Neurospora crassa OR74A: one gene and its partner. The protein of the gene in region 2 purifies or fractionates together with the protein of the main gene of each other region. This does not show direct contact. Links are inferred from orthologs where the notes say so. Each region holds a gene or a part of one and is shown on either strand. Other genes may lie near its edges. The genes, in order: NCU04115 and NCU06105.

Region 1 (15,357 bases), on a different chromosome or scaffold from region 2:
TCTCGGAAGCCAATGGATTTTGCAAGTCGGGGATTTGTTCGCCTGCCGTAAACCGCCCAGTGGGCATCGTCGAAAAAGCCATCGTTTCGACAGCCGCCCAAATCCACGCTACCATTCGTCGATCCATCCCTTGTTCAATGTCCTGATGCGGCGCACAAGGTCAGTCTCATTGGACGGAAAATGAGGAGGAATTGTAACCAATCACTTTGGCTTGCTGCCAGTGGGTGTCGCGAAGTTTTGGAGGAGTTGGAGCATTTGGAGGGTCTTCACTTTCCAATCACAGTGACCAAACACCCTTCTGGACTTCAAGCCTACTGAAAAGGGTAGGTCAGGCCGGATCTTCTGTGATCTTGCTGACTTCAAATCTCAGGAGCACGAAGTGTTATTCTACCCTATATGGCCTGTTGCAGAAATTCCGGTGCGGATGTTGGAGAAAACCGAACACCACGTGATAATAGTCAGAGTTTTTTTGGGTTTTTTCTTTTTTTCTTTCGCCCATCACATCACAACAGAGGGAACTACATACACGGGGTGTGGGTTCACGATTGTACACTACATACGGTACCTTACTTGAGGCCAACGGTTGTGCATCAGCAACCACAAGGGGGTATTATGGGGAACTTTGAATTTACATGGTCAGTTATCTACTGTGCATACTTGTAGGATGGTGGACCAAGCAAGCTGAATTCTGCATATGTACCAACGTCCTTCAATTTTTCAAGAAACAAGTTGAACATCCAATCCCTCATTGACAAGTCTGTCGATGATCAGAGAAATGTTCGAATTCGATGCCACTGCTACGAGGTGAGCCTCCATCGCCCAGGGGGCATCGGTTGTCTTCGCCGGAAAGTCTCCACCAAGAAACCAACGCCAGCGACCTAACCTAGAGGAGGTACGTAATAACACCAATCATCCAGTTCGCATCGCATGCGCTGCAGGGCTTCCTTCGATATTAAAAAAAAAGAAAAGAAGAAAAATTGAATTGGGTTTGATCTATGCTGTCGGCTTTTGGGCCACTGGGCCTCGGTTCCAGATACGCCTCGTTCCGAATCCTTCTCAAGAAAATCGAACCCGAACTGCTGGAGACACTGCACTGTGGCTGCGTGCCTCCCTACACTAGGCCGTGGCCGGCCGGCTGGGTCGATGGGTGTGGCGAGTAAACTCAAAAAAGCGAAGAAGCGAAGATGACTAGACCTACCAACTTCTCGCATTAATGCTTCGCCATACTCGAAATACCATTGTGGTAGGTTTTGCGAGGGAAAGTGAGGCTGGTGACGTGGCACTTTTCAGTTGCGGTCGCTACGTACAAAATCGCATCAAGCTCTTCTAGGCTGCCTCCGTCCTCCCTTCTAGACCAAAATTTGCCCCGAGTTTTGTACAACTCATCAACTCTTCAGCTTTGCTTGCCCACAACATCACACGAGTTACAAGGGCGATGATGGAGTCCTCCGCCTTGTTGAATTTCGAGTCATCGCTGTCTTTCTCTGCTGGAATCCACCTCGAAAGCTGGAAAAATCGAAGGAAGAATTGCAACGAACGAACCATGGATGGTAGTATCACCCGCTATTAGTGTCAATCCCGTGAAAGCACCGTGAGGCGTAGAGGTATGTACCACCAAAAGACCCCTGTCGTGTCTACGCCAAGCTAGAAGCTAGGTACCCAAAAGCTCGCCGCAACAGGGGCTCTTGCAGATTTTATTGGCCACCGACAACGTCCAAGACAACCACCGAACAAGTCGAATACATAGTTGAACACCAAGCGCCCTGGATAGGATCTGGTGAACATGTGCACATATTGTCCTGCCTCGGAGAGAGAGTCCTCTTCCGTCTACTGGTAGAGCTTCTCAATCCTCTGGAGGGTCTCGGATGGTTCAGTATCTGGTAACGTGATCATCAAGTGGTGTGAAGTTTTCAGAGTCATCGTTCTTGCGGCTCTGAGTGGGTACAAGGTGTAGATAGACGACATATTGTTGCGTAGGTTGCTGCCTTGTTGCTGGATTACCTACATGTCATTCCGGATGCCTGAAAGGCGGAATTAAGACCTGTTCTTGGTGGCCATTGGATTTTCTAAGCCCAACAAAAAGAAAAGGGGAAAAGAAAAGTAACGCCTTGCCTAGTAACTATACAATTATGTATGCCCAGGTCTGAGTTGTCCGACGGAAGTCACATTTAGCAAGTCTTGGGATGACCGGATAGTTGCCAGAACAACCACTCCTCCCTTTTCCTTCTTCCATCATCAGCTCTTCGCCAAGCTAGCTGAGCATCCATCACGTTTAGACTGCCTTCCCAACAATCCACGCTTACCTTGCCGTTCTTCGTTCGGTACCTATGTAGTATTATATAATTTCCATTTTTTTAGCCTTGTCTCCCCTTGATGACTAGGCAACCCCTATCTTCAATTATCCATTCCCACTCTTTCTATGTCATACCATACCATGCCTGCCTACTTATTCAGCTTGATCGAATGGGGATGAGGATATGACTCGATGAGTCGATCGTTCTCCCATCTTTCAAGGCTTTCCGTTATCGTCACCATTCTAGTGTACCTAACCCACCTCATGAGCGTACAGTGTACAGTGTACACTAAAGAAGGCAGAGAAACATAGTCCCATGTACCTTGTTTTCCCATGTCCCGTCCCGCCATCTGCCTGGGGCGTAGGGCACTTCCCCAGCTCCAAGCTAGCCAGGCAAGCCAGGTTAGCCTCGCTCGAAAGCTCCAAAGCTGGCAAGACCAAGACCAAGATGTTGGGATAGGTACCTCTAGGGGAATGTGGCTGCCTGGTGTAGGACACATTCTGCGCTCTTGATCAAGCTAGAAAGCATGATTGGGCTGTGCCCATCTACACTATGTACATTTCTTCCTGGCCAGTGACGTTCATCTTCGCAAATAGCATTCTTTAGATAGAGGCCACTCCCGCCTCGAGAATAACACGCTGAAGCTGGTTTGAGACGTGTTCTTACTTCGCCGCCATTATTATAGGTAATTCCCCAGAGAAACGGCTTCTGCTGGGTGGATCCGAGTGGTTCTATTGCAGAGTGTCCCCTTCTTCCTTCATTGCGGCTTTTCGAAATTCCGGCATCAAAATGCAGTATGTAGCTATTTCTCAATTCACTCCACTTCCGATAACAAGTCATATGTGACTTTGACTAAAAGTTCACACTCATCCTTTTTCTTCTTCAACACTGGGCGTTTACTCAGCCTATAAGCGTCACGAGGCCCGAAATACCCCCTCTTTTTTTTACTTCCCCCCTCGAATTCTTCATCCTTCCACTTTCTACACCGGCAGTTTATGACACGTTGAATGATTCGCTTTACTTACTAGTGTAGTCCCTTTCACTAGCCGTTCCAAAACCTCTCCTCCGACCCCGCTTGTGAAGACTAGATGACTAAAGGATAGACCAGCCAAAGCGAGTAAATGTGTGCAGTACTAATGAAGGAAGACAGCTAAGCGCCTTGCTTGCGTCAGCCCATCGGTCCATCAGCCAGCCAGCCAGCCAGCCAAGCCAGAACTGGACGTCACTTGTTCACTCACTGGCTTATGCAATACTGACTGCCTACCTAGCTGGGCTGTGCGGCGTTTTAGGTGAGTGAGTGGAAAAGGGAAATGTGCTCTCCCCAGAAATGAGGGAAAAAGGGACAAGACATGGAACTCCGGGTACTGTTGGCGACTGGTCCTCGTTGAACCAGTCATGGAAGTCAGCGCCGGCGGTTGGATGGCATGAGGTTGAGCAAACATTGCTTAAGAGGGTATATAGTATCTGGTTAGTGAAGGTAGAGCTTTAATGTGGAATACCCTTCCTCCAATGATGGAAGTGGCTGTCTCGTGTGAGCATCTTTCTTGCTACCTGAATATATGTATCATGCTAAATTGTTGTGTGTGGACGGTTGAAACGAAAATCGGATATGTAAACAAGTTGCCAGTATGTGCATTTCGTGCAAAGCGTCTGTCTGTTTCAGACCTAAGCAAAATTGTTCTGTTCTGTTGTTCCTCCTCGCGGAAGCTCGTGCTCTCCCTTCCCTGCTCTCGTCATGTCCTGTTAACCATGATCTTGTGAAATCCGTGCTTTCTATCGTCTATAGATCCCCTCTGCGTATTTGTACAAATATATGACCGCAAGGCATGCAAAATGCGGTCACATATCGAAAGTCGGAGGACAAATTATGAAGTAGATGATGGGTAGTTAGGTCGGTACTGTGTATCCCGCAGCAGCTTGACTGCTTCTTACTGTTACTTGAGGAAGCGATCGAAGCCCTCAAAATCCTGGAAAAAATCGTCTTCCGTCTTGGCTTTTGAGCTTTTCCAAACGCTTGAGCTTTGCGCATCTGGGACTAGATTGGCGTCTGCTTCCTCTTGTTGCTGTCGATGTTGATGTTTAAGTTTTGTGGCGAACGGTGGCCTACCGCCGGGGCCATACTTCACCCACAGCTTGCTCCCCACCGCATACTCGCGTTTGTAAGGTATGAACAGTTCTGGCTGGGACTGTTTCAGCTTGAGCTTCCACTCCTTCATTGAGTGGTGAACCAACTCGGGCAAACGTTCCAGGACGTAGGAACCCCAGGCAAAATTGCACAACCTGATGGCTTCTTTGAGCGAAAGCGTCTCCCTCAGTTTCGGGGTAACATAGTGATGCCCGTGTTTCGGGGGCCGGTGAAAACGCTTGATCTCGCCTGAAACCAAAAGTACGGTGAGAGCCGGGACAATTACTGAGCGCGCCCAAGAGTCATCGGCCCGCACTCCCTTCTCCTTGAGCATTGCTACGAGCTTGATGCCTCGGGCGAAGAAGAAGTGTTCTGGCTTCGAAAATTCTGTTGCATCCCGAGGCATGCCGCGGGAACTGCGAAAACCCCAGCGGATGATTGACCCCAGGAGCTCCCTACCAAAAACCAAATGCAGTGGATGGTAGGGACTCGTTGTGCTCATTCCGGATGGAAGGCTCATAAACCTTTCTGACTTGGGCAATTGCTGAGCGACTGCGTCGGGTAGATCGAGTTTGTGAACTCGGAAAAAGCCCCCCTCGGGTCCCAGAGTACCCTCATAGAAACTAACAATGTCCAATGCAAGATCGTCGCGCTCGTCATGCAGTCCTTCACGTCCGAGTCTGAAAAGAATGATCTGAGAAGCCTTGGACGCGAGAGGATATCCGAATCGTAGAAGCCGTCTATACATGGTGGCATAGGAGGAAATGTCCACGCCATCTTTCGCAGGCCGTGGTACTATTTCTTCGCATACATGTTTTGATATGGCATCGGCCGTAGAGTGCATCATTTCGATATTTCCATCGGCCATAATATCCAAGAAGCCAACCATATGTGAAGCGCTGTTGGCTTTCAAACAGACCAACAATGCTTCATTCGTTGACTCTTTCAGAATCTGCCTTGTGTTGAGATGGCTAGCTTCCACAAGGAGCCGACAGAGCATAAAGTCTCCCTCCGCAGCAGCAAAACTCAGGAATGAAGGGTGCTTGGCGAAGTTGTCAAATTCTTCCGGATGCATGGTTGTATTGACAAGACCGTCAAACAGGTCCTCGTCGCCAACTGTAGCAAAGTGCTGTAGTGTTTTCGAATAGCTCGAGTTACCAATTCCGATTCCAGACTCTTGCAGCTGTGCAATGTGATGAAGGAGTCGGCCAGGGGAGGGTTCGCGCCGGGCTATAGACTGTAACGAAAGTGGCCCGATTTCAGAAAAGCCGAGAGTCGAGATTGTACCAATGATGGTTTCGATGGAGAAGTTGAGGGTCGCAAACCATCTAGCGCCCAAGCTGTCATTATCTGTTTGTTCTTTGATGCCGAAGATATTACCCAGACCCTTGGAGATCTGGTAGTTGAAGTTGATACCAACTTGCGACTTGTCGTCCCTTAACAGGCTGTTCAGGTCTGCACTACTTGGAAGCGCAGCTTTACTCGGCGGTATAAGGAAGGATTGTTCTTTGTCAGTCAACTGGATTTTCGGATGAAAGCCGACCAAGAACTGTAAGAATGGCCGCGAAGCTTCGGTTGTTGGCAAGTCGTTGTGAGAAATAAACAGCCGACGCCAATCACGGGCAATACCTTCCTCTCCTTGGGCGAAGAGGTAAGGAATCATCTCGTCGTAGAGGTTTTGGCGGACACTCGTCATGTACAGTGCTTGTAGGATTTCTCGAACCTTTGCGTCTGAATTAGTGATGAACTGCTTCAGCACGTGGGTAAGGGGTTCTGAGTCGGAGCAAAACGACGAGCTTAGGCGTAAGTGCCAAAGCAGCGTTGACTGTGTATCCTGTTGTGCTATGAAGAAAGATACAACACCTGCGTAGAGGTTTGGCCAAAGGACTCCGCGGTCACTGTGGAGCCACTCAGCATAGGACCAAGCACTGTGCAGTGTTGCTTGATCGTGAACGGCCACATCTAGTATTGCTTGCCAGAATTTCTCGGCAGTTGAGCCTTCCACTTCCGTCAAGGTTCGCCGTTTTTGCAGACCCTCGAGAACTGCTGCAACTCCGGCATCTCCTTCGGTGCGCTGGCGGTGCTCAAGTATGCACGACCAAAGGGTGATGTCGTTCGCATACTGTGGCCAGTCAACCAGTCGCGGCTTTCCATTTTCGGGCGAATCTGCGTGGACATCACACTGGAAGCGCAAGTCTTCCTCGGTGGCCGTCAAGACATCCCAATCGTCACGGTTGAAGGGCTGGTTAGCGATGCGGGATGACCGAAAGCCCGACCATGCTGACAGGTCGTGTGTGGTAGACGCTTGGCCTGGTAGCGCCTGCACTGCCGAGCCCCGTGCCTTCTTTGTATTCCGAACACCGTGGTCCTCTTCCGCCGCCAAAGTCTCCGAAAGTGCGTATGCCGTCAACGACCGCGACCAGCACGCGCTCGTTGAAAAGTTGACGCATGATGGTAGTCCAGACGCCTGTAAGTGCACAGCGTCCGTGTATAAGTGCGATATGGTGGAGCGGCGCGAGCGAGCTACATGTCGCAGCACAGGAGGCACGACTCGCATAATGGAATTGTGGCCGCTCGACACAGAGAATTGGGCATATGAGCGGCGGGGACTCTTCTTAGCGGCTGTCTGATGCGATCATGTTCATTTTCTTTTTCGCTTCGAGGTTGCCGCTGGGTTATTTGGCGTCGTTGTTCGTATCGTTCGTATAGATCGCGAGGTACCTGGGGCTTCGTTGACTGACTCGAGTTCTGGGGTATCGCGGGCGGTCCATCCCACGGATGGGGTTGTGAGGGGATGTGGAAACTCCTCGGGCTGGAAGCTTTGACGTTCTGGAGTGGAGGGGACACAAAAGTGGAGGGGACCTTGCAGGTGTGGCCGGGGATCGCTCCCTAACTTGCTTCTTAGTCATCCTACGATCATGTGTTTCAATCCCCCATCCTTCCCGGCAGGCAGTGAGTCTGCTGAGCTGCTCAGTCTGAAGGTCAATGTCGAGGCATCAGCAGCAGCTGAAAGCTGTGAGCACTGACCAAACCTTACACCTGGCAAACAGGCAGGCAGGCAGAGCTTCCGCCGTCGGGTCTGCAGTCTCCACCATCCACAAGTCCGTGCACCACAGGAAGCCCCGAGCCGAGAAACCTGAAGCAGTGAGAGGTTCAAAGCTAACTCTCCGTCCTTTCCACGCATTCGACATCATCACACCAACCCCTCGCATCACCCCCCCGGAATCTTCCACCCAACGACCCCCGACAACAATTTCAAGATGCCGTAAGCTTCTCCCCTCCGGCTGCGAGCTCCTCGACGATCCGACGACCCTCCAGCGACTGCGCGCATTGCGGACGCCGCCCCAGGTCCAATTACCTGTCGTCATGACGCACTATTGTTCGTCGTACGATTTTGGAATCCCAGGCTAACAGCTCTCTTTCTTCCCCGACTGCAGCGGCCTCGTCAACGCCCCCAACCACGTCCCCGAGAAGCAGCGCTACTACCAGCAGGCCTTCAAGAACCACACCCGCCTCTGGAAGATTGTGAGTTGAAGTCGACACTTGAGGATGGTTGGGGAATCAACAGATGGGAAGGAGGAGAGGGAGAGACGGAGAGGGAGGTTTTGTCGGGATAAGGGCTGATGACAAAATCGCGAACAGGGCCCTCGCAGCGGCATCATCATGACCACCTTCAACATTGCCATGTGGGGTACCTTCGGCGGTGCGTATACCTTCATTGATGGCTTATCGCTTCGTCCTTGCTCCTTCCGCTAACTGTACATCAGCTTCCATGTACGCCATGTCCCGCAAGGTTCTCGGCTACAACACCTGGTTCTCGGAGGATTAAATTAGCCGTCCTACCACGATAGTCAACGAAGGCGGTGCTACTGGTCATGATAGAAGCACGAGAATCCCTTTGAATATGTGTATAGTCGCAAAGAGCAGCATAGATGGCGGCAGAGGGCAGGCCGCTTTGGGTGATACCTCCAAGAAGTAGGCCGCCACGCCGATATTCCCTATTTGCATCATGGATTCCACCGACCACCTTTGGGAGAGCTACTGTAACCGTGGAAATCGTGATCCATTGGGTCTCGGCGCTTCGATTACCAAGCTCCAAACACTGATGGCTGCAGCTGTCAAGTCTTTTCTATCATTACAAAATTATGGCTTTTTGGCCATGGGGCAGTAGTGGCCATGGAGGTGTGAAACCTGTGAATAGTGGTAACCAGGCGTTCCCTTTGTCATGGGGGCAGATCAAGTAAGCGCTTTAAATCCCCGAGGCACCGGGGGCCTTTTCGTCCTTCTTTAGGCTTATCAGGAGCTCACGGAAACGCTCCTTGCCGGAACCAGCAGCACCGCCCTTAGCTCCCTTGCCGCTAACGTCAACCAGCTTGGCAATGCGCTCCCAGCTCGTGCCTCCCGATGTGGTGTCCTCGCGGCTGGCAAGGAACTCCTCGGCCTCCTTGCGGGTCTGCCCAATGGCCTTCTCCTTCTTGTTGTTGTAGTTCTCGTAGAATTCGTCAATGTTCTTCTGCGCCTCCGCGATGGTCTCGGCTCTCTGGGCGGCGAACTGCTCCGCCCGCTTGGCAAGCTTCGCATCACGCTTCTCGCGCCACTCTCTGATCACCTCGGGCTCTTGCTCCTCCTGGGCGTATGGCGCATATCCAGAGTTGTAGGTGACGGAAGGACCGGCGCCAGTGATGGTACCGCCTGGCGCAACAGACTAAAGTGAAGATGCCCCATGTTAGAACCCAAGACCATGATTACGTGCTGTGTCGACATCTTTGGTATCATCATTATTTAGTCGTACCTCGTTGCCTGCGGAAAGGTCGGGGAACTGGCTCTCGAAAGCAGCGCTAGTCTCAAGGCCAGCGCCGGCGCCAGCGGAGGAGTCAAGGCCACCCCCTAGGAGGTCGTTGTCATCGTCGAAACCAGCATCCTCAACTGTCGCAAATTGGTTGGCATCGTCGCCGAGAAGCGCCTTTTCGCGCTCGAGGAAGTTGGAGGCCGAGGGGCTTCCAGAACCCTCCTTGATCTCGGTCTGGGCTTTTGTGGGGGTTTGAATGTTAGCAGGCAGTAACAGCAAGGTAAGGGGATCTCCAAACAACGCCAAGCTTACCGCCGGAGTCGAACTCCTCCAGCGAGGGGAATCTGTCAGCCATGATGTGGGTGGTGTGATTTGACTTTTGGTAGATCGGCGCGAACGGACAAGACTGGAGGCTGGAGAAGTGGACTGAAAAACGGAAATATTGGGTAGGACGGAGGATCGAAGAAAGCTGCGAAACAGGCAAGGTGTTTCGTTGTTTGATGGAAGTGTCTTTTGGTGTTGGTGTTGCACTGCGGGAGTCCGAGTTGCAGCCCACCCCAGCGCTCCTGATCGCGCCAGGTTCCAGGTTGCGACGGGACGCCACTCACAGCGGCCACTGGGGCACTTTGGCACTTGTCCACAGTAACAGCGACCCTCTTGGGCCTCTCCATTTGGCCAGGGGAAGCCGTAGAGGTAGTAACAGCTACCTTTAGGTACCGGCAGGCAACTCCATTGTCTGCGTGCGGCAGGCGTTCCGTTGTCCCTCTTCCCCTGCCTGCCCTCGCATTGGACGGATGGAGGAAGCTCCAACGTCTGCTTCGTTCCGTCCCACCACCTCCCGTCGACAACTTCTTTCTTCCTTCTTCTTCTTTTTCTTCTTCTTCTTCTTCCTTTCATCAACAACATTCAGCACTCACCTCGCTGTGGTTTCAGTTGTTTGTCACAGAGCATCCAGATCACGCTCATTTGCGCTTTGCACTGCAAACTCTTCCTGGTGACAGCATTGGTAATAGCAGGGAAACGACTCCGGTGTAGTTGGACCACAGAGCTTGACTAGGTGCTTAGTTCGTGCTGAGCACTTCTCTCTTGCCGTCATCTAGTGTGTTGTGTTGATAGTCCACGCTTCTGCCATTTGAGGTTGTTCCCAAGGGCTTTCGATCCATATTCTAGATCACCACTCGGCCGCGTCTGGAGTCCCTGCTACTTACACGCAAACATCACGGATACCTTTTCGTACTGCTGTAGATGAGTTCTGAATAAACCCGACACCGCATATCTTGAACATCTGCCCCGTCCATCACACCCACCAACCAACCAACCATCAACAACCACTTTTTCCAACACTTTCCAACAAATTTCGCCTAAAGCTTCACCATGGCGTATAACGAGGATGCTGTGCTCTCTAAGCTCTCTGCACTCACTGAGACTCACGAGAGCATTGCAACCACCGCTCAGTGGATCATGTTCCATCGGTAAGCTCCCGCTGCCCACGACCGACGACCGCATTCACCTGCTGTTTGATGTCTCGACCGCCGAACTGACTGTTGATGTATCTTAGGCGACATGCTGCCCAGACTGTCCATCTCTGGTTGACCAAGCTGAAGGACCTCCCCAGTCCCAAGAGGCTCAACATGATTTATCTTGCAAACGGTGCGTGCATTTCCCAGGCTCTCCCACATAGGCTGCATGTGATGTGCATCCCCCGGCGTTCGTTCTGGGTTTCTTTCTTCTCGTTTGGGACTGAATGCTGACTTTATTCGTCTTTCTCATAGAGGTGACGCAGCAATCCAAAGCTCGCAACAAGGATGACTTCCTTCAGGCTTTCTCTCCATTCATCGCAGATGCAACCGCGTTGTCTTATAAGGGCGCCTCGTCAGACATCCAGAACAAGCTCCGAAGGGTTGTTGATGTTTGGAGAGAACGCAAGATATTCCCCATAGAAGTCCAGGACGCCATAGACTCTCGACTAAGAGGTAAGCCGTGGCCTCAGCCCTTCCGCAGACAAGCTACTAACTTGTTCAATCCAGAGCTTGACTCAGCCCGCTCCGGTGGAACAATGTTCGGTTCCACATCGTTGTCGTCGCCAGCTGCAGCGGTGCCTCCAGAGTTGGCACCCTTGGTTACCTCACAGCAGGCAGTTTCCAAGAGTGCCCAGGCGTTGAAGACAAGCCTTACTACCGCCAATTCGGACTACAGCAAGCTGATGGATCCGGCCCACGCTCCTCCTCAGGCGCCAGTGTATGCCGCGCGACTCAACGGGCTTCTTAAAAACCTTGCCAATGCTGAGGGAGCCGTGACGGAATGCATCAAGACCCGCGAAGAGCTGATCAGCGCATTGGAGAAGATGTTGAGCTCCAACCGACAGGCCTTGGAGGCCGAGCAATCACAGCTCAGGGATCTAGGCACCCGCAAGACGGCAGTTGAGGAGAAGAAGCAAGCAATTGAGCTCAGCATCATTGGAGGTTTGCCTCACAATACCCAAGAGCCGGCTACCGGTGAGGAGCGCGCTCCATCTAGCTCGGATGGCCACGGCATCGCCCGTCCTCAGGTTGAAGCACTCACGCCGCCCCACGTCCAAGATCACGACGATTTCTACGATCATCGCCCGTCTGAGCAACAACAGCCGCAGAACGGTCATACTCACCCAACTGGATCTGCTCCTGGCATTGAGATGCTGTCCGCCCTCGCTTCTCAATATGAGTCTGTTCCAACTCGAGAGGCCAAAAAGCGCAAGATCGACGAGACTGCCGACATTCCTGACGTAGGCATAGATGCCGATGTCGCCGAGATGATCCAGAAGGAAAGCACGATTTAGAACAAGGACGGGGAGAAGATTTTTGGAAGCAAAACTTGACCGAACTGAAGTTTTTCTACCTTTGTATCAGTTTGAGTGCATATGGCCCAACACTCTGGAGTTGTTGCCGTTATTGCTGGTCTAGGGGAACGATAATGGCTGTATGGCGAGAATCATCATTCATGTGGCATTTTGGCGCGGGCCTGAAACCTTCTCTGGAGCGAGTATGTGGAGATACAGAAGGACAGGACTAAGGATTATTGGCATGCTTCATTCTTGACGGGCAAAGCGCCATTCGGTTCGCTGTAGAAATATCGTGAATAAAATCATCGGCATTTACACAAGCGATCGTCTTTTTCGTCTTTTTTCATTACCATGATGACCTTTGAAGTTGATGACGTCCGCACAGCTTCAATACCCCTGAGGTACAAATAAGTGGCATGAGTGGAATGGGCCAAGCTTGAGCACGGGCCACTTGTAGAAGGTACCGACATCGTTGAACGCATTCCGGAATTGACAGTGGATGCCGCCGGCATCGTTGTCGGGTGGTGGCTTGCTCTTCGCTGCTGAATGACGAAATGTCCGACTGCAGGTGAAAGATGCGCGCTTTGCCCTGTTTTGGGGGGGGGGGGGGGGGGGAGAGGGACAATTGAACAAGGGAATCGAAGCCGCCCTCCCGCCGTCGTGGTCCCCAGAGCTTGAGCGGCGAATCAATCGCAGTTGCTGCAGCGCCAAACCGGCGATTGACCACTGAAGTTGAGATCCCGTCCGCCGGGACAAGCAAGGGTTTTTGCACCGACGGCCGAGCCGACCGAACTGCCTGGGTGTCATCCCGACTTCATTCCATCATCCCCCCCGCCGTCCGTCCCGTCCCTCGACCTCGGAACCTTTCCACCACTTCTTTCTCCACGTTTCCTTCAACAGTTCCTCAACCACATTCCACATCACCAAACTCACCCATTCGCACGCAGTGCAGGGACTCAAGGGAACCGGGCATTGACAAGCGCAGAAACAGGCGCGCATGCGCGCTAGCGGTCTCGCATCAGGCAATTAGTAACATAGCCCACTGCACAACACCGACATGATATGATAGAAACTCGACACCGAAACTCTACGATACAGCGAGCCTAGTACCTAGTCACATACACACTCGACCTACCCAAGACACATATACTTCAAGCCATGGTTACGGGGGTAGCGGTGCGCCGCGCCGTGCTGCTCCCCCAATGCGGCGGTAGCGGCGCCGGGCTCGCGGCTTTGCTGCCGTTCCAACGATCGCCCACTATGACTTCCTCGATTCTGTCCGCAAAATTCTGCCGTCCGTTCTCGTCAGTTCAGCGGCCCTCGACGACATCTTTTACCATCGTTTCGGTTCCTTTCTCATCCTCCCATCCCGGATCACGACCATGCGTACAATCCCAACGTTGGACTTCCCCCTTCGGCCTTCTCCGCCAGCTATCGACCTCACAAACTCGCCTACGGGAGCAGCCGGCCAAGGAAGCTGCGGCAGAGACAGCAGAAGAGGCGGCAAAGGACGTTGAAAAGGTCAAGGAATATACATCTGAAGAACACCTCAAGGTACACGGTTTTACGAAAAGCGAGAGGGCGCATAAGGCCGCCCATATCAACATGAGCGCTCGTCTTTCCAAGGATGGCAAATCCCAATCAGGCACCAAGCCCGGCTTCGCCGAGGTCTGGCGTCTGATCAAGATTGCGCGCCCCGAGGTCAAGGCGATGAGTGTCGCATTCGTCCTGCTTCTCATCTCGTCCGCGGTCACCATGTCCATCCCCTTCTCGATCGGCAGAATTCTGGATCTTTCCACCCAGGGTCCCGCCGGCGAGGTTCGGCTCTTCGGTCTTACCCTCTATCAGTTCTTCGGCGGCCTCGCTGGTCTTCTCACTCTTGGTGCGACGGCCAACTTTGGCAGAATCATCATTCTCCGTATCGTCGGCGAGCGCGTCGTGGCTCGGTTGCGCACGAATCTCTACCGCCGCACCTACGTCCAGGATGCCGAGTTCTTCGATGCCAACAGGGTCGGTGATCTGATCTCGCGACTGAACTCCGACACGGTTGTCGTGGGCAAGAGCATTACTCAGAACGTGTCTGATGGTCTCCGTTCCATGGTTAGCGGAGCGGCGGGTTTCGCGGCCATGTTCTGGCTCAGCCCCAAGCTGACATCCATTATCCTCATCATGGTTCCCCCTATCGGTCTTGGAGCGGTTCTCTACGGTCGCAACATTCGCAACTTGAGCAGGCAGATCCAGAAGAACGTCGGCTCACTGATGAAGATCGCCGAGGAACGGTTGGGTAACATCAAGACCAGCCAGGCCTTTGCCGCTGAAGTGCAAGAGGTGGGTCGCTACAACAAGCAGGTCAGAAAGATTTTCGCCCTGGGCCGGAAGGAGGCCATTGTCTCGGGTGTCTTTTTCAGCAGTACGTCGTATGCAGGAAATCTGGCGATCCTGGCTCTCTTGATTGTCGGCGGGAACCTTGTGCGCTCAGGGGCCATGTCTCTGGGCGATTTGACCTCGTTCATGATGTATACTGTCTTTGCTGGTTCGAGTCTCTTCGGTGTTAGCGGCTTCTACTCGGAACTGATGAAGGGTGTCGGCGCAGCGAGTCGTTTGTTCGAGCTCGAGGATCGCAAGCCGGCCATCCCCCAGACCGTTGGTGTGAAGGTTGAATCTGCGCAAGGTCCCATCAAGTTCTCGAATGTAACGTTCGCCTACCCTACCAGACCTGCAGTTACGATATTCAATGGCCTCGACTTTGAGATCCCCTCGGGCACAAACGTGTGCATTGTAGGCCCTTCAGGCGGAGGTAAAAGCACCGTGGCCTCCTTACTCTTGCGCTTCTATAACCCCACATCCGGTAGCATCACCATCAACGGCATCGACATTTCCAAGATGAACGCCAAGTCTCTCCGCCGCCGCATCGGCATGGTCTCACAGGAGCCAGTCCTCTTTTCGGGTACCATTGCCGAAAACATTGCTTACGGCCGTCCACGGGCTCCGCGCACCGAGATCATTGCGGCTGCCCAGAAGGCCAACTGCGGTTTTATTAGCGACTTCCCCGAAGGCCTCGAGACCCAGGTCGGCGCCCGTGGCGCCCAGCTTTCCGGTGGCCAGAAGCAGCGCATCGCCATTGCTCGCGCCCTCCTCAAGGACCCCGATATTCTTATCTTGGATGAGGCTACCTCCGCCTTGGACGCCGAATCCGAGACCCTGGTCAATTCTGCCCTTGCGGAACTCCTCAAGGGCCGCAGCACCACCATTTCGATTGCTCACAGACTGTCCACCATTAAGCGATCTGACAAGATCATTGTGCTCTCGAGCGAGGGTACCGTGGCTGAGA
Region 2 (16,259 bases):
GGCCCCGCTTCCCGCACAGATGCCCACGCTCCTGATGGTTGTGACCTTCTTGTCCTTGGGTGCGGCAATCATGATGTGGTTTAGCCCGCCGAGGCCCTCGGCGTAGGCCTTGATAATGTTGCCGAGGTAGACGGGGTGGCCGAGCTCGACGAGGCGGCCGTAGCCGGAGTTGAAGAAGGCCGGGGGCAAGGAGGCGGTGATGGAGCTCGAGATGGGCTGGCAGATGCTTCGCTTGGTCTCGACGCCGTGGCCGTCGAGCATGTCGGCTAGCCAGTCGTTCATGCCGCCGGGCGCGGCATCGACGGCCGTGTGAGGCGAGTAGACGGCGATGTTGGCCTGAGCGAGCTGCAGGAGGATGCGCTGCTGAGGGTCGGCGAGGGTGACGGACTTGAGGCCGCGGAAGATGAAGGGGTGGTATGAGACGATGACGGAGGCGCGCTTGCGGATGGCTTCCTCGGCGACGGCCACGGTGAGGTCGTTAGTCAAGAGGACGGTTTGCGGGACGTCTTGGCCGGCAACGGCAATGTTCTCTTGGAGGAGGCCAACATTGTCCCAGGCCTTGTCGGCGAGTTGCTCGGGATAGCTGGTTGCGGTCAGTATCAGGCATGAAGATCAGGTAGGTCAATGGAACTTGAAGTCAAAAGCACTTACAGCGCCCGCATGGCGGCAACTACCCGCTTGGTGAACTGGGGGCTTTCGAGGGTTGAGGTCATTGTGATGGTGGGGTTATTGTTTTTGTTTTGACAATAGCTTCTTCTAAAATATCCCGGGAGAAGAATTGATGGTTTGTATGGAAGTGCGAGAGGCTTGGTAGATATTCTGGAAGTGATCCGGATAGGGATCTTGAAGACTGCACTCATGAGTGTGCCCCGGGCAAGTGTTGTTGATGCTCAGGAAATTATCAAGCTGTAGTTTTGTCAGCGGGATTCACTAGAGAATAGAAGAAAATCAGGTATATATCACTTTTCGTGTTCAAATCCAACCAACATGCATCTGATTTTCACTCAAACCTTTTTGTCCTCGTCATTCATCCAAGTGAAGTGTTTGTTTACAACTGAACCCGGAATCGAATGAAGAGCTCCAGGTGGGGGAAGGTGAAGCTCCCTCCCGAGTTCGAACCTTGCAAAGCTCCCCATCTCTCCGCTGTCAACCCTAACCCTTAGTGTACTGCAGTAAAAGCTCCAAACATGCCAAGACCTTCGATTCGCGGGGCATCTTTTTCTCACTCTCACTTCAGGTTGCTGGTCCCTGTCAATTATTCATCGATTTTGTCTTTCTCCCCATCCACTCAATCTTTGGCAACGCCATTCCGAAACAACACGGATCTCCAAATACCACTTCCTCGTACATCAGACATCAGGAATACCACCATACTACAATACACAAAAATGGCCGACAACCAAGAACCAGCAATAACCGAGGACTTCCTCTCCGCCGCCCTCAAGACGCGGCTCAATGCCACTCACGTGGAAGTAACGGACATGTCGGGTACGTACATGCATTTCACGGCATTACATTTTCTGTTTTCTTTCCCAGTCCGTTGTTTAGGTACACTGCATAACCGTTCGTCCGGTTCCCTCCTGTTTCCCGACTTCGATATGCTGCACACAAACACACACATACATATCGAGCACCTACCTACCTACCTCTACTACTTACCTACTTACCTTCCCGCACCCTTGCCCTGACGTCATGTCACGGATGGTGGTCCGGAGTCCGGAAGCTCAATGAACAATCTGATGATCTGATAAGATCTTTGCCATTCCCTCCCTCCCCCAACCACACACACCGTTACCACCCTCCCTCACATTTCTGCTTACTTCCCTCCATCAACCCATACCATCCCTTCGGCCCCCGCCCCCGCCCCCCCAAAGAATCAAGTACATATACTAAATTAAGCCCCCACCTCCCTCTTTTCCAACAAAATAAAGGCGGTTGCGGCGCCTCCTTCACCTCTCTCATCGTCTCTCCGGACTTTGTCGGCAAGAACTCGCTCAAGCGGCACCGGCTCGTCAACGCCGCGCTCAAGGAGGAAATTGCGCGGATTCACGCGTGGAGCGCAAAGTGCCAGACCCCCGACGAGTACGCAAAAGAAAAGGCGGCGACGGGCGGGAACGACGGCCCGCCCATGGACGGGACGAATGCTCAGGGCAAGGTGGAGGGTGTGACCGAGTGATGTGATGTGAAAGGATGGAAAGAAAGGGGAAGGGGAAGGGGAAGGAAAGAGAACGAAGTGAGGTGGCAGTAGTCCAGAAGGAAAATCTTGCTGTAGTGGGTGGTGTACCTGGATGGGCATGAAAACAGCGCGTATTGCTCCAAAAAGGGCGGCGTGTAGTAGTCTCGTGGGAGACTTCTGAATCAAGGGTGGGAGATAGGAAGGAATGACAGCAGGAAACGAACCATGGCGATACAATGCAATGTGCAAATCCTTGCTGGGTGTATTACGTTTCTGCCTGTTATGGGACTTGATCCGCGCTGTACCTAGGACGAGAGAAAGAAAATGGAATCTGATCGGTGTATACCTACTCGACACTCGCCTGCCCTCCATTTCTCTACGAACCATTACATTCCGGCGTGGACAATTACACCTGCTCGATACTTGCTCCCTCACCTGAAGCCGAATCGTCTGTCTTCTCTTTGTTCCTCCGCCACAGAAGCCAACTCCACCGATTTAAGTTTATCATCGAGGCGAAAAGTCCTCCTATCCGTTCCATCATTGTCCATATCCATGAACCGCCTCCACATATCTGATGCTGATGGAAAAGACCATGTCGAAATCCTCCCCTTGTTGCTCCAGACCTGGTAGAGAATCTTGATGGGGAGTCAGACTTTGTTCGTCTGTCTCTGAGCGCAGGCCGTTTCCGACCATCTCTTCCCCCACCCAAAACGTCGTTTCCGTTGGCCGTGGACGAACATTCCCTCATCCTACCATGGTCATCAGTCGTTTGCCATGGGTTCGTTGAGGGCGGCCTATTAAACAATTCACTGGTATATCTATCAATCCGGTTTCCCATATTCTTAGCCATTTTCATGCCCCAGCGGGTCTGGAGGACAAATATGACCATGAAAAAAGGGATGCAAACCGCTATGAGAGTGACAGGAAAGCGCCAGTCATCGACCGATATCTCGAGAGTGGTGATACCAAAAACGGACTGAGATCGAGTTAGTAGCGAACCTTTTTCTTGAAATGCATAGCAACACAAGTCAGGGTGAAAAAACAGGCCTTCTTTTTTTCTGTCAAAGATAGGGTGCAAGGTACAGGTTGGGTAAAGAGAAAAGCGGGCAAGGGGGCGTAGGTATATATATGGTAGTGAATACAACGCAGGCTGGGAATGACGGACACTCGGCACATTGTATGATAAGAGGGGAGAGTGAGGAATCAGAAGAATACGAAAAAATGGAAGCTTACTCACAGTTACAAAAGTTAAAGGCAGAAAGAGCATCGACACCATGGTAAGGATCTTGATGTTGTCTCCCTGCTCAATGGCCCTTCTGGACTCCTTGACGCTGCTCCCGCTAAACAACTGTTCCCTCAGCGACGAAATCTCGTCTCGTGTTTTTTCGTTCCTCTTCCGCACCATCTCCAGGTTTTTCACTTCCCTATCCAACTCCTGTCTAAGAACTCCCATGCATTTAGCATAATCTTGACCATCACTCGTGTTTGGGTATGGGTGCGCCCAAAGCTTCTCATTTTTCCCTTCCCAGAATTCTTGGGTGAACGTCTCTTTGTAGGCTGACACCATCGAGTCGATCCCTACATTGATCACACCGAGAGTGTTGTATGCCCAAAAGTAACGACGGGAATACGAAAAGTTTTCGTCTTCAAACAGAAGGCCGTCCCGAAGTTCAGAGTTGAACATGAATTGGCTCTATGAACAAGTATGTTAGGTTAGTGGTGAGTCTGGTATATTGCTCAAGCGACAGAGTTCTTACTGGCGGTGTGATAAGCTTTGTCACCTCGTCGTTGATCTGGCTGTATCTTGTAACGGCATCATGGTACTCAAGAGCCAAGCTATCCAGAAATGCAAGTGGGCCATTGCATAACGGCCGTTTTGATCCCTCGCTCCTCATCGTGTGCTCGTCATCAGGGAAGCATTGGATACTGAGAAGTTGCCATGGTGCCGATGTGTCAAAAATAACATGGTCCTTGATATCTCTTTTCTTCACCCGTGCCCGGTACTTTTTGATTGGATCACCGCCCAGTGATAATGCCAAGATTGAGCTGCACTCTGCGATGTCGACATGGTCGGGCCATTTTCGGTCGGCTGGACGTCTATCATAACGTTGCCACGGCGCAGGGGTGCACTTGTTCTCATTGACAACAGTATAGTACTTGAAGACGAAGAAGAATGACCTGTGCCTTAGCGGGTTGGATTCGGTAGTTCGATCCATATAAGCCTAGATTGGTATGTTCTGTTAGATCGACGAGTTAATTGAATGATGGTATCACGCACTTTGGTCTTTCCGTTATTTCCTTCACTGGAAATGAGGTGCTGGAATAGCTCGTCCATATCGAAGTGTTTCCGCATGGTCATATGGACTGCTCCGAGCACGAGAGGGGGGACCTCTTGAAGAATACTTGATCCCGTCAACAAGAGTGTTCAAAATTCCGCAATAGCAAATACACACTCACGTTATTCTTCCGACCGCCTTCCCGTTTATGTTCACCTCTTTGAGGGTGTCCCAGACGCTACTGACGCTGAGGACTTGTTGAGGGTCGTCTCCGTTCTTTTTGTGTTTGGGCTCGGGCATGCACTTCTGATCACCACTCCCGGGTATCTCGTATACCTCGTATGTGGCATTCTTGTATGTGCCGTCACGTCTTTCTTCCCATGGTTCCAAAGATTGTTGTGGGGCACTAATATACTCATCCCCACGCCGAACCTGTAGGATTTCTTCCAAAGCCCAGTTGGTACTATTGAGTGATGTCAGATGGGTTCTCAAATCTTGCTCCGTAAAAGACTCTTGCTCGATTGGCTTGGCGGTGCAGAAGGAATGGCTCCGCAGATCATCACCATCGTTGTCGGTCATTGTGGGCGTCTGAGATGCTCTGTCGTTGGAAGGCGCTTGAGTTGAAAAGTTATATGGTCTCGAGCTATGCAGCTCGTTCGTTTGATGTTAATAACGATTGGAACCGAATGTGCACTAAGAAAGATTGTCGTGGGAGAAAGTCGAGCCCCTAGGCGGCGTAGACGGGGTGCTGTCGTGGATACGTGAGCGTTCAATCCCACTGCTACTTGGGAGAACAGTAGGGGAGTTGAGATTGAGTGTCAGTTCATGAAGGAGCCGAAGATTCGCGATATATAGTTCGTGGTGTAGTTTCATGGCTTTGAGCAGTTCATCCGGATTGTTAGAGGGTTTCATAATGAGTGTGCAAATTACAAAGTAATGGATGAGGGGAGTTTCAATCAGAGACAGACCGGGACGAGGATCAGTTGGGGCAACCATGCTTCAAAGCTCGTGCTTTTCGAAAACTGATCGCTCATCGATATCCTACCACTAATGTAAGCTGAATATCGTGGATAAGTGTGTACTCCGTTTGATGGACGACGATAATCTGACAGGGCCTTGCAAATGCCACAAAATAATGAATGAACAAGGGCGAAAAGGTTCGTGATAGCCCGCCGTAGAGACGTCGAGTAAAGAGAAATGTTCAGCCGGATTTCTAGGAGCGGAGAATAAGGTGGCTGGAGGTCGTGCTTCTGGAACACTTGTCAATGAGAGAATGGGGAGTCTTGTTCGTCTCAAAATGAGAAACCCCCAGAAAGATGAGAAGTGAGAAGTGATGGGAAGTGGCAACTACGAACCTTGACCCAGCTGGTAAGTACGACTCCTGTGAGGTGAAGTGACTGAGGTTGCCTGCAATATGTCGGTCGCATATCAGAGGAAAGAGGCATGAAGTATGAGGTAGTAAGTAGGTAGCCATCCACCGAACGAAAGGGACAGACAAGCTACCTGTGGCTAATATGTCCTTCGTCTCCTTTCTTTGATCCAGCCGAACAACTCCCAGTAAACAGAAAAGTCGACCGCAGCGATATTCTTGTTGTTCTTGCCGGTCATCGGATCACTACATATTAATTGGCTCTGTACTACTATGAATGAATTTTGAACGTAAACATGCACGCAACCCTGTTCTCATTCTTGTGGCCCTCGTTCTTACCAAAGTTCCTGCTTATGCCACACTGAACTCGGGAATCTCACCCATCTCGGCCTTTGCTTCCGCTCCAACCTTGTATGATACCCTCCACCTGAGTTTCACGCTCTCTACCTTCCTGGTCTTGTCCGCCGTATACCATACGTTGACTGACTGGGTAATGCCCCGGCTCTGCTTGGGGGTAAGAGTCCGTCCTGTTTGAGGCTGAAGTTGCAATTCGTATCCCTGTTCAAGCATCACAATTAGCATCTCGCTTGAGGGCTTTCTACAACTGACGAAGGCACATAACGTAGCCCAAAACATTTTTGGTCAAAGTGCCAAGGGTCAGATTAGTGAGCTTACCTTGGTGACAGCCAACTGGAAATGCACCTCGGTGATGGGTTGCGCTGTGTTGTTGCTAAAAGCAAATTGCATAGAAATGGCTGGAGATGGGCCATTGGACAGAGATCTGACAGCCACCATGTCGACCTTGAGCGCAGTGTTAGAAACAACGGCTCTGTGCTCCTTAGGCTGGGCGGGTGTCGCCTCAGGAGGCAGTGCCGAGGAGAAAGACCACTCGTCATCGTCATTACCGGTAGCAGCTGGTGCTGGCGCTGGCGCCGGGGTAGATGAAGAGGAGAGAGAGGCTAGAGCAGCAAATGGGTCGTTGGACGCTGTTGACGACGCAGCTGGCGCGGAAAAAGCGGATGCTGTATACGCGGGAGGCTTGGGGGTGCTTGATTGAGAAGCAACTGGTGATGCGAATGAGTTGAAATTGTTGAAAGAGGATGGGCCAGGTTGAGGGGAGGGGCCCCGTGCGGTGCTGTTCTGCGTGGTGGATGAGAGCAGTGCCGGTCCAGGAATGTCTGTGGTGATCTGTTAGCAACATTCTCTTTGACTCTTGCACGGAAAGCAGCGAGTGACATACTCGTATTGGCACCGAACCCGAGGGCAATGCCACCTCCTTGACCATAAGAGCTGGTTTCACCCAGCGACAGGCCAAGCAAGTCGTTGTCGAGGCTGTTTCCTCCCTGGGGTGCGGACTGGCTGGTCGAGTCCCCCCCGCTTGGCTCAGCATCAAAATCAATGAGCGACAGCTCTTGCGCCGCACTCTTGCCAGCACCACTTCCACTGCCGTTGCTTGTGCTTGCAACTGGCGCGCCACTTGCCAATGCCTTGGCACCCTCTATATCGCCCTTCTTCAGCAACCTATATCTCTCCACAGTTCGGTGTATGCTGTCGTTGATTTCGAGAAGTTTTGCGACTGCTTCATGGTCGTCTGATTCTTCCTCGCACATCTTCTGGATCTTTGGTTGGGCGCTAGACAGGGCGGCTGCGAGCTCGGAAAACACATCGCCATCCACGATCTTGTCGCCGGGTTGAAAGGCTTCTAACCGCTCCTCGAGAAGTCTCGCTTTTTGTTGGATTTTGCCCACGTCCTCGGCCGCCTTGGCGCGGTAATCCACCTTGGATCTCGTGTCATAGCCAGCCATGACCTTCATGAGTCGATTAGCCTCCTGGAGGTCCTCGGGAGTACCTCGACGGATAAGCTCCTGCAGCTTGGCGGACTGCGCCTCGCGTTCCTCCTCTTCCATTTCCTCGACAGATTTTAGGTTCTGTGACAGATAGGTTAGACACGCTTCAACAATGACCCATGGAATCGGGACGGAACACTTACATCACTCGGGTTAAGCACAGCAGCATCCTCCCTTCTGACTTCCGGGAAGGTGTACCCCTTGTAGCTCAGCAAGCGGTGCATGTCCCTGATGAAGCCCAAGTCCTCTTTATATCTGCTCGTTTCGCAAATCGTACAGCGCCACTCCTCAATGGCTTCGAGGATCTTGAGCTGGACACGGGTGGGGCGAATCGGGGGCCGCTCGGGAAAGCGGCGTACCAGCTCATTGAGAAACTCCTTTGTGCTGATCTGGAGGTGGAAGGGGTAGCCGCAGTTCTTGACGCAGATGTCGAGCAGGTTGAGGGCCAGCAGCGAAACGTTGGGGTTGCGGTTGTTTATGTAGTTGACGATGGCCACGGCGGCCTCTCGAGGGGCGGAACCCTTCTTGGAGTTGATCAAGTCGGCGATCTCGAGGTTCAGGGCCAAGTTGGGTTCGTAGTTGTCGGGACTGCAGGCGGCCGTGATGAAGCGCTGAAGCTGGGACGGGGCCGGGCGGCCCATCTCGGCCCACCGGTCGCGCGTGGCATAGCGGGCAGACGCCGCCTCCATGTTGCCGGCGTTCTCGGGGAGTCGGGACGTGTTGAGTGGTGGATGAGGAGACTGACGAGACTGAAGAGACCGAGGAGGTATTGGGGCCAGATTGCGCAGCTTGGCGGGAGTCGCCTGGATAGGTAGGTAATGGATGGCGGCAACCAGGACCCAACCAAGCCTTTGGTCGGTCAAGCTCTAGTGTAGTCTAGAGGAGTTGTGTGCTAGAGGTAAGGTAGGTACCTAGTGAAGCTCCCCCTCTTCCCGGTAAGCCGTTGGGATTATTACCAAGTATGGTGAGTAGAGGTATGGTATGGTACTACTACAGTTTGATACTTCGTTATACACCCAGAGACTGGACTATGATTCGATCCGAACTTCTGTACCTAGAGGTAACGGGAATGTGTCCACCTGGATCGCTGGCTGATGGAAGGAGGAGAGGCCTACTGCTGCTAGGGGACGGGAGCTTACACGGCTAGGTCAGGTCGTGGACCCCTCTCAGTGCTCTGGACGGACGGGTTGGGCTTGGGCCTGCGCTGTTGCCTGCCGTTGAGGTTGTTGGGGCGCAAGGAAAAATGGAGCCGCACATCGGTACGTTGCGAGACTGCGTTACAAGAATACTATCTTTGTGGATGAATAATACACTGCAATTTCAATCCACAGCACCTCGACAAGCGCCTCCAGCATGGTGTAAGCGCGGCAGACGCTTGCGAATCGAGCATCTTCCGCAGCAACAATCGGTGAGTTGCATGAATCCGGGGAAGACGTCAATCATGGACATCCTCAGCGGACCCACCTGTCCACCCCACCTGCACCAACTGAACCCCAAATGCGATGTCGTCAAGGTCTTCAAATCGCATCCATAACTTTTTTCGCCATCTGCCACTTCAACCTTGTAGCGCAAGCAGCTCGCATTGTGGTCCAAGACGGCACGCATATTTCCATCCAAGTTCTGCCCTGGTAAAGCAAGGCAGTGCTAGGTCGTGCCAAAATCATCCATCCATTGCGACATAAAAAAAAGTCCGTCAATTACAAGCTTCAACCCCAGAGCCAAAACCATCGGCACTCCATCTCGACAACATCCATCCTCCCGACGAAATTCAAACCATCACCACTATGGTCCGCCACAAAAAGGACGGCTTCTCCTCGCGCGGCGGCAAAGGCGGCCATGGTCGGAACGCGCCCCGCAACAACCCCCGCAGCAGCAAAGGCCCCCGAGACAATGCCGGCAGCGGCGGCGAAGACACCACAGCCAACCCTCACGACCCGTCCACGTCCTCACGCCCCTACCGCCCTCCCTTCAAGGCCGCCTGCTGGGACCTAGGCCACTGCGACCCGAAGCGGTGCTCAGGCAAGAAGCTGATGAAACTCGGTCTCATGCGCGAGCTGCACCTGGGCCAGCGACACTCGGGCGTCATCATCACGCCCAACGGCAAGCGGGTCGTGTCGCCCGCCGACAAGGAGCTGATGGAGCAGTATGGCGCGGCGGTGGTGGAGTGCTCGTGGGCCCGCACCAAGGAGGTGGAGTGGAAAAAGGTGGGCGGCAAGTGCGAGCGCTTGTTGCCGTACCTCGTGGCGGCCAACACGGTCAACTATGGTAAGCCGTTTCGGCTGAACTGCGTGGAGGCGCTGGCGGCGGCCTTTGCCATCTGTGGTCATTTGGAGTGGGCGGAAGAGATTTTGGCTCCGTTTTCTTACGGCAGGGCATTCCTGGATATCAACTCGAAGCTGTTCAAGATCTACTCGGCGTGCAAGGATGAGGAGGAGATCAAGAAGGCGGAGGAGGCGTGGAGGGAGAGGCTAGAAAAAGAGTATACTGAGAGCAGAGAGGGAGAGTCGGATGACATTTGGACGACCGGAAACACAAATCGGAGGCCAGCTATGGATGACTCAGATGAGGAGGACGACGACGAAGACGACGAGGAAGATAGCGATGAGGAGGCAGACAGTAACGACGAAGACGGCAGCGTAGACGGTATCTACCTTGGCACCAAACCACCGCCCAAACAGAAACAACCAGCCGAAGAGGAGTCAGAGGAAGAAGACAAGGACCCTTTCGCCATATCCGACGATAGCGATGATGAAGCCGAGATGGAGGCCATTCGGCGCAAAATCCTCGCCTCCAAATCGTTTGCCAACCCCGAACCGCCCAAGAAGACGGTCGAGACCATTGCCCGACCGCAAGGGCAGTACAAACCAGATTCCGATGCCGAGCCGGATTCCGACAATGGGGAGGAGGATGACGAGTTTGACAATATCATTGCTGCTACGCCCATTACCGATAGGATAGGACTGCAGAAGCTGGAGAAGGAGCGGGCGCGGGCTACGTTGACAGGCACCTTCTCGTCTGCTTCCATATCTGCACCCAGAGGAGGAAGATAAAGGAGATTGGATGATGATGATGATGATGATGGGGGCACTTGATGAAATCAGGAGAATTATACAACGAGACAAGGAGTATATATATATGCATTACTGTTTACCCCATGAAGTCATGAAGCTGACCATGCTCATTTCCCATCAAACCCTCGATCAATTCTTACATGCACCATTGTTGACGTGGTGCCATCATGTCTATACATTGGCAGCTGCTGGTATATGCAACACTATCTATATCCACCACCATCCATCTTTTTCCCACAGATACAACCCATCTTCTCATAACTCCAGGATTTGCACAATCGTACATGTATAATAATTGTACAACAGGATAACAATCCTTTACAGATACCTCCTCTCTCTAATCTCCTCCACAACCTGGATGAGATCTCCTTCCTTGATGTCGTCAAACTCGCCAAACTCGAGACCGCACTCGGTGCCCTTGCGCATCTCCGTAACCTCCTTCTTGCCGTGCTTGACTGAACTGATGGTACCTGTGTTTTGTTGTTGATTAGCAAGATTGGTAACAAGATAAGACCACAAAAGAAAAAGAAAATGATCGACTCACCATCAAAAACAACCTCTCCCTTCCTCTGCAACCTCACCCGCCCATTCCTCATCACCATCCCGTTCCTGACCTTGACGCCCGCAATGTTCTTGTACTTCCGTCCCTTGATATTAATAGCAAACACCTGCGCCACCTCGGCCTCGCCGAGTACTTTGAACGAGATTGTGGGGGCCAAGCTCTCGCTCAGCACCTGGCGCACCTCTTCGGTCAGGTTGTAGATGATGTTGTGGTCCATAATCCTAACCTTATTTTCGACCGCCATGCGCTTGATGTGGCCAGGAATCGGGTTGTTGAAGTTGATGATGGTGCTGCCCGAAACCGCGGCATGCTCGACATCCGATTCGGTGATCTGGCCCGGGCTCGACAGTAGCACGCGAGGGCGCACCTCGTTGCTTCCGATCTCCAGGATCGACGCGCATACGGCCTCGACCGAACCGTGTACGTCGCCCTTGACGGTGAAGTTGATCATCTTGGGCCCATCTGGCTTCTCCTCTGCCGCCTCGGCTCCATCCTCACCCTTCTCAGCCTCCTCGGCCGCGATTCGTTCGGCCTCACGCTCGCGCTTGAGCCGCTCCATCTCCGTAATCTGCTCCATGGCCTCCTCGCGCTCCTTCTGCTCGATGCGATAGTGCACCGCGCTCTTGGCTTTGTCTTCGTTAGGGGCCTGGAGAACCATGTCACCCGCCTCGGGTGGTTCCTTCCAGCCGAGAATCTCAACGGCTGTTCCGGGGGGAGCCTCTTCGACCTCAATGCCCGCTTCGTTGCGCAGGCTGCGCACCTTGGCGAAGACACGGCCGGCAACGATAAAATCGCCGGGGCGCAGAGTGCCGCGCTTGACGAGCACGGTGGCCACGCGGCCAATCGGCTTGATACTGGACTCAAGGACCCATCCCTCAGCCATGCCGTCGGGCTCGGCGCGGATGTCGAGCATCTCGGACAGAAGAAGGATGTTGTCCTCGAGATCGTCCATACCTTGACCGGTCTTGCCGCTGACGCAGACAACCTGGACATCGCCGCCATAGTCCTCAATTTCGACGCCGTTGGCGGCCAAGTCAGACTTGACGCGCTCGACGTTGGCTTGGTCCTTGTCGATCTTGTTGATGGCCACGATCATGGGTACCTTGGCGGATCGAGCATGCTTGATGGCCTCGATGGTCTGCGGCTTGACACTGTCGTCGGCGGCGACAACCAAAATCACAATGTCGGTGACGTTGGCGCCGCGCTGTCTCATGGATAGGAAGGCAGCGTGGCCGGGGGTATCCAGGAAGGTGATTTGCTTACCCGAGGACATCTGCACAGAAAAGGCACCAATGTGCTGGGTAATTCCACCGTGCTCACCGGCTGCGATCGAAGACTTCCGCAGGAAATCGAGCAGAGTAGTCTTGCCGTGATCGACGTGTCCCATGATAGTGACAACTGGTGGCCGTAGGGGTACGCTAGAGGGGTCTTCAGAAGGAGGGCGTGGCCTCAAGTCCTCATCCTCACCAGCGTCGACTGTTGGCTCAAAGCCGTACTCTTGGGCAACCAACGCGGCCGTCTCGCCGGTCATGATGCTATCCTTGGCGATGTCTTCAAATCCGAGTTCTCCCAGTTGGGAGATGAACAGGTCGGTCTTCACGCCAAGGGCCATGCCGAGGTTGGCAACGCTGATAAACTCGGGAAGGAGAATAGGAATGGGGCCAGTCTCCTCAAACTGGAGCCGCTCCTTCTCAGCCTTCTTGGCCAACCTTTCACGACGCTTGTACTCATACGCCATATCATCGAAATCATCGTCTTCGTTGTAGTCGCGCCGCCTACCCCCTTTCTTTTTGGGCTTCTTTTCCTCCTTGATATACCGCGAGGGAATCGGTATCTCTTCCAATGCAACCCTATCGCCTCTGGTCTGTCTTGCATTATCCCTGCCCCTGGGCTTTTCAAAGTCTTGCTGCTCCAGCTTTTGTCCTTCCTTCTCCTTAGGCTTCCCTCCGTAGTCGTCAGCCCAATCCCAGCCATCCGACATCTGCTTCTTGAACGCTTCGGTGGCCTCCCGAGTGCTCTCGGAAGCCGTCTCAGGCTGCGCGTGAGGTGCTGGACTGGTTGCATATCGATCTTCAGCTTGCTTCCAAAAGTTGCGACTATCTCTGGGCTCCGAACGTTTTTCAGTTTCAGAAGGGGGAGCGGTCTTGACAAAATCGTTATTACCAGTCAATCGGCCGTTCCCAACGTTTGCCCCGGCTGTACGGCGGATGAGCCCTGCCCATTGCCCCTCGGTTTCACGCGAAGATTTGGAATCCGATGGAGGTGCAGGTGGAGGTGCAAACTTTGATGAAATCGACTGGTAAACCTCACGAGCTGAAGTTCTGCGTGTAGAAGGAGGAGGCGGGGGAGGCGGAGGCTGAGTGGAAAATATGTCATCCCATGCATCTGTATTGTCCGCACGACGCTCCTCTTCCTCGGCGTTCAGCAAGTCGTTCTTGAGAGAACCTGTCTCCTGGCGTTTCCTTAGATCCTTGGCCGAAAGTTGACCTGTCTGTCTATCATGGGCAAAAAGACCATCAGCAAGGCTCTTCAGATTTCTTGCTGGGGCCTGAGGGTGGCTCTGAGCATGTCTTTGCTGTAACCGATCCCTGGCTACTTTTTCGTGGGGGAGGAGTCGTTCTGTCTGAGATTGGCTGGCTGGCTGACTGGAGGCTGAAGAGGCGCCCCAGCTGCTTGCTCCCCAGCTGCTTGTTCCCCATTCTCCACTGGCGGGCTTAGGAGGCTGGCTGGACGCCGAACTGGCGGCTTCCAAAGCATCCCAGCTGCTTTCCCCCGAGGCCCCATCAGTTTGTTCACTGAGTTGGCTGGCTGGGCCCGGCTTTAATGATGCCCCGCTGGAAAGGCTGGATAGACTGCTGACAGTTGGTTGACTTGTACTTGCTAGGGACTGTGTCGGTCGGCTGGGGGTCGGTTCCCTAGGAGCCGTTTGACTGGAAGGTGATTCCTTAGGAGCTGGCTGTTGAGTCTGAGGCGCCCGTGCTGGAAAACGTCTTATACCAAAAGGCTCTAAAACTTTGCGGACAGGAGCCTGGCTTCTTTGGGCTTCACGCTCAGTTTTGGGTCCTGGTGTTTCTGTTGTAGGGTCTTGACCTGGTTGTTTCGGGTGCAGAAGCATCCTACGCACCACAGGTCCCTGCTGTTCCTTGCGAGGCGGGGCCCTATTGAACTCGTTCTGTTGACCTTCAGGTAGCCGGCGCACCGGACGGTCACTCGAGGCGCGTTTGGGAGGTTCTGGTGCCGGGTTTCGAGCGGGACGTGGAGCGGGCTGAGCAGCCACAGCGGCCTCGGCCATGCGCAACAAGCGCTGTCTAGCGGCGACTTCGTGAGGAAGCAAACCAGCGTTGGCGGACTTGGGTTGACTTTGCGCCGTTCCTGGTTCGGGTGTCGTTTGAGTGGCTGGGGTCGCAGGGGCGGCCGGTTTCCAGGAACCACCCCATCCTCCTCCTCCTCCTCCTCCTCCGGCGCTCGGTGTCGCAGGCTGTTGTTGGGTACCCCAGCTAGGTTTGTCGTCCCACGAAGAGTATATGCGGCGGGTATTCGGATAGATACGTTGCTGCTGTTGCTGGCGAAGTTGCCATCTGTGGCGGCAGAGCAAACACACAGAGGAAGTGCTCTGCTTCTGTTTCCAGTGGTTGTTTCCATGTCAGCCATCTATTTGACTTCTACTGACTTCAAGTTCCTGCTTGACGTCGTCGTCATTGAGCAATGCGCGCATCGGGAACCGCACTTACCTGCAACAGTCCGCCCCTCATCATCTTGTTCTATCACAGGGCATAGTTTGCCCAGCAGGACCAGACCAGAGAGGAGATAGAACAAGAGCCTGGCGCGACAGCCAAGGTGGAATTTTGTAACTTACACGGGCGATCCGTTCCGTCCCGCAGTTCACCAGAGCTTCCCGGTCGTTACTGGTGCTGCAGCGCGCAGCGCTTCAATATTAAAGTGGGCACCCAGTGACTGATAAGATAAAACAGCATTACAGTAGAGGTACTTCCTGTACGTGCTGGGTTGTAGGAATAGGTAGTGAGGGGCAGCTGTCCAGCGAGCAGTTTAGGAGCCGGGTTAGGGTCAAGGCAGGTGCTTTTGAGCAGAGGTCAGCTTCAGGGGCTTACAAACAATACAAGGCACGTACCCCGACGTGGACCCTTTTGGCCTCCGGAAATCTGGCCCCAAACCCCAAAGCTTCTTTCAACGAAGCCGCCTACTTCCACTTCCCTCCATTCCTTCACCGTCTTTTTTTTTATACTGTCTTCTTTCATTTGCTCGCCAAATTCCCTCATCATACACCCACATAGGTCGCCAAACATGGCGCCAAAGAAAACGAGCAAAGGAGCACGCGGCGGCGGTAGCAGCAGCTCCGGCGGTGCTCTCGAGCCGCCCAAACCCTTCCGCATCGCCCCGGATTCACTCAAGCCCTTCACCTCTTCTCTCTCCAAGAAGCATGTCTACATCGCGCATGTCGACCAGAAGCCGGCCTCCTTCAAGCGCAAGATTTTTTCTGTGCCGATTATGCTCAACGCCGTCGTCTTCGCCCTCTTCCTGTGGCGCATGTGGTACATCATTCCTTACTACGTGGCGCTTTTGTCTTCCTCGTTCCTGGGGTACGAAAACTCGACAACGATTCGCATGGCCGACCTGACCTATCGGCAATTTTTTGCGGTGGCCGGCCGGCGTACGCTTACGTTTCTGTTCGATTTTGTCCTCGCCGTGTTCGTCTGGCCGTGGCCCATCGAGTTCGTGTTCGGGCGCAAGCACGGCAGTCCCGTGTTGTGGCGGACGGCCATTGGGTTCCGCGACAAGGAGATCTATGTGCGCCGGTCGCGGTCGTGGGACACGCAGGTTTATGGTGTGGATATCTTTTCGGAGAAGCCGCAGGGCAACGAGGCGCGCACGATTCTGTGGGACATGGTTCGCAATGCAACTTCCCCGATGCTGCTGCAGGAGAAGACGGGATACTTGAC

The links.
Region 1: the proteins of NCU06105 (region 2) and NCU04115 purify together in Saccharomyces cerevisiae (affinity purification with western blotting; 3 studies listed by BioGRID). This does not show direct contact. The link is inferred for Neurospora crassa OR74A from reciprocal best matches to the Saccharomyces cerevisiae genes GGA2 and CLC1.

Annotation. Positions count from the first base shown.
Region 1 is NC_026505.1:4,888,643-4,903,999, forward strand, and holds NCU04115 (clathrin light chain), read right to left. Parts: upstream 9,815-15,357; 5' UTR 9,564-9,814; coding exon 9,521-9,563; intron 9,448-9,520; coding exon 9,212-9,447; intron 9,125-9,211; coding exon 8,669-9,124; 3' UTR 8,465-8,668; downstream 1-8,464. Other genes in the region: NCU04113 (hypothetical protein), read right to left, coding at 4,229-6,976; NCU04114 (hypothetical protein), read left to right, coding at 7,680-7,684, 7,857-7,944, 8,062-8,122, 8,187-8,248; NCU04116 (DUF618 domain-containing protein), read left to right, coding at 10,583-10,680, 10,767-10,858, 10,981-11,181, 11,236-12,023; NCU04117 (ATP-dependent permease MDL2), read left to right, coding at 13,185-15,357. UniProt on the Saccharomyces cerevisiae protein: Clathrin is the major protein of the polyhedral coat of coated pits and vesicles. In yeast, it is involved in the retention of proteins in an intracellular membrane compartment, presumably the trans-Golgi. The yeast light chain is important for cell growth.
Region 2 is NC_026507.1:1,777,439-1,793,697, forward strand, and holds NCU06105 (ADP-ribosylation factor-binding protein GGA1), read right to left. Parts: upstream 8,938-16,259; 5' UTR 8,358-8,937; coding exon 7,812-8,357; intron 7,750-7,811; coding exon 7,062-7,749; intron 7,000-7,061; coding exon 6,497-6,999; intron 6,380-6,496; coding exon 6,173-6,379; 3' UTR 5,842-6,172; downstream 1-5,841. Other genes in the region: NCU06108 (UPF0135 protein), read right to left, coding at 1-583, 652-860; NCU06107 (hypothetical protein), read left to right, coding at 1,389-1,488, 1,932-2,176; NCU06106 (hypothetical protein), read right to left, coding at 2,714-2,811, 2,867-3,152, 3,414-3,869, 3,934-4,398, 4,455-4,578, 4,634-5,031; NCU06104 (RLI and DUF367 domain-containing protein), read left to right, coding at 9,453-10,718; NCU06103 (mitochondrial translation initiation factor), read right to left, coding at 11,058-11,209, 11,284-14,920, 15,033-15,056; NCU06102 (hypothetical protein), read left to right, coding at 15,604-16,259. UniProt on the Saccharomyces cerevisiae protein: May play a role in the regulation of membrane traffic through the trans-Golgi network.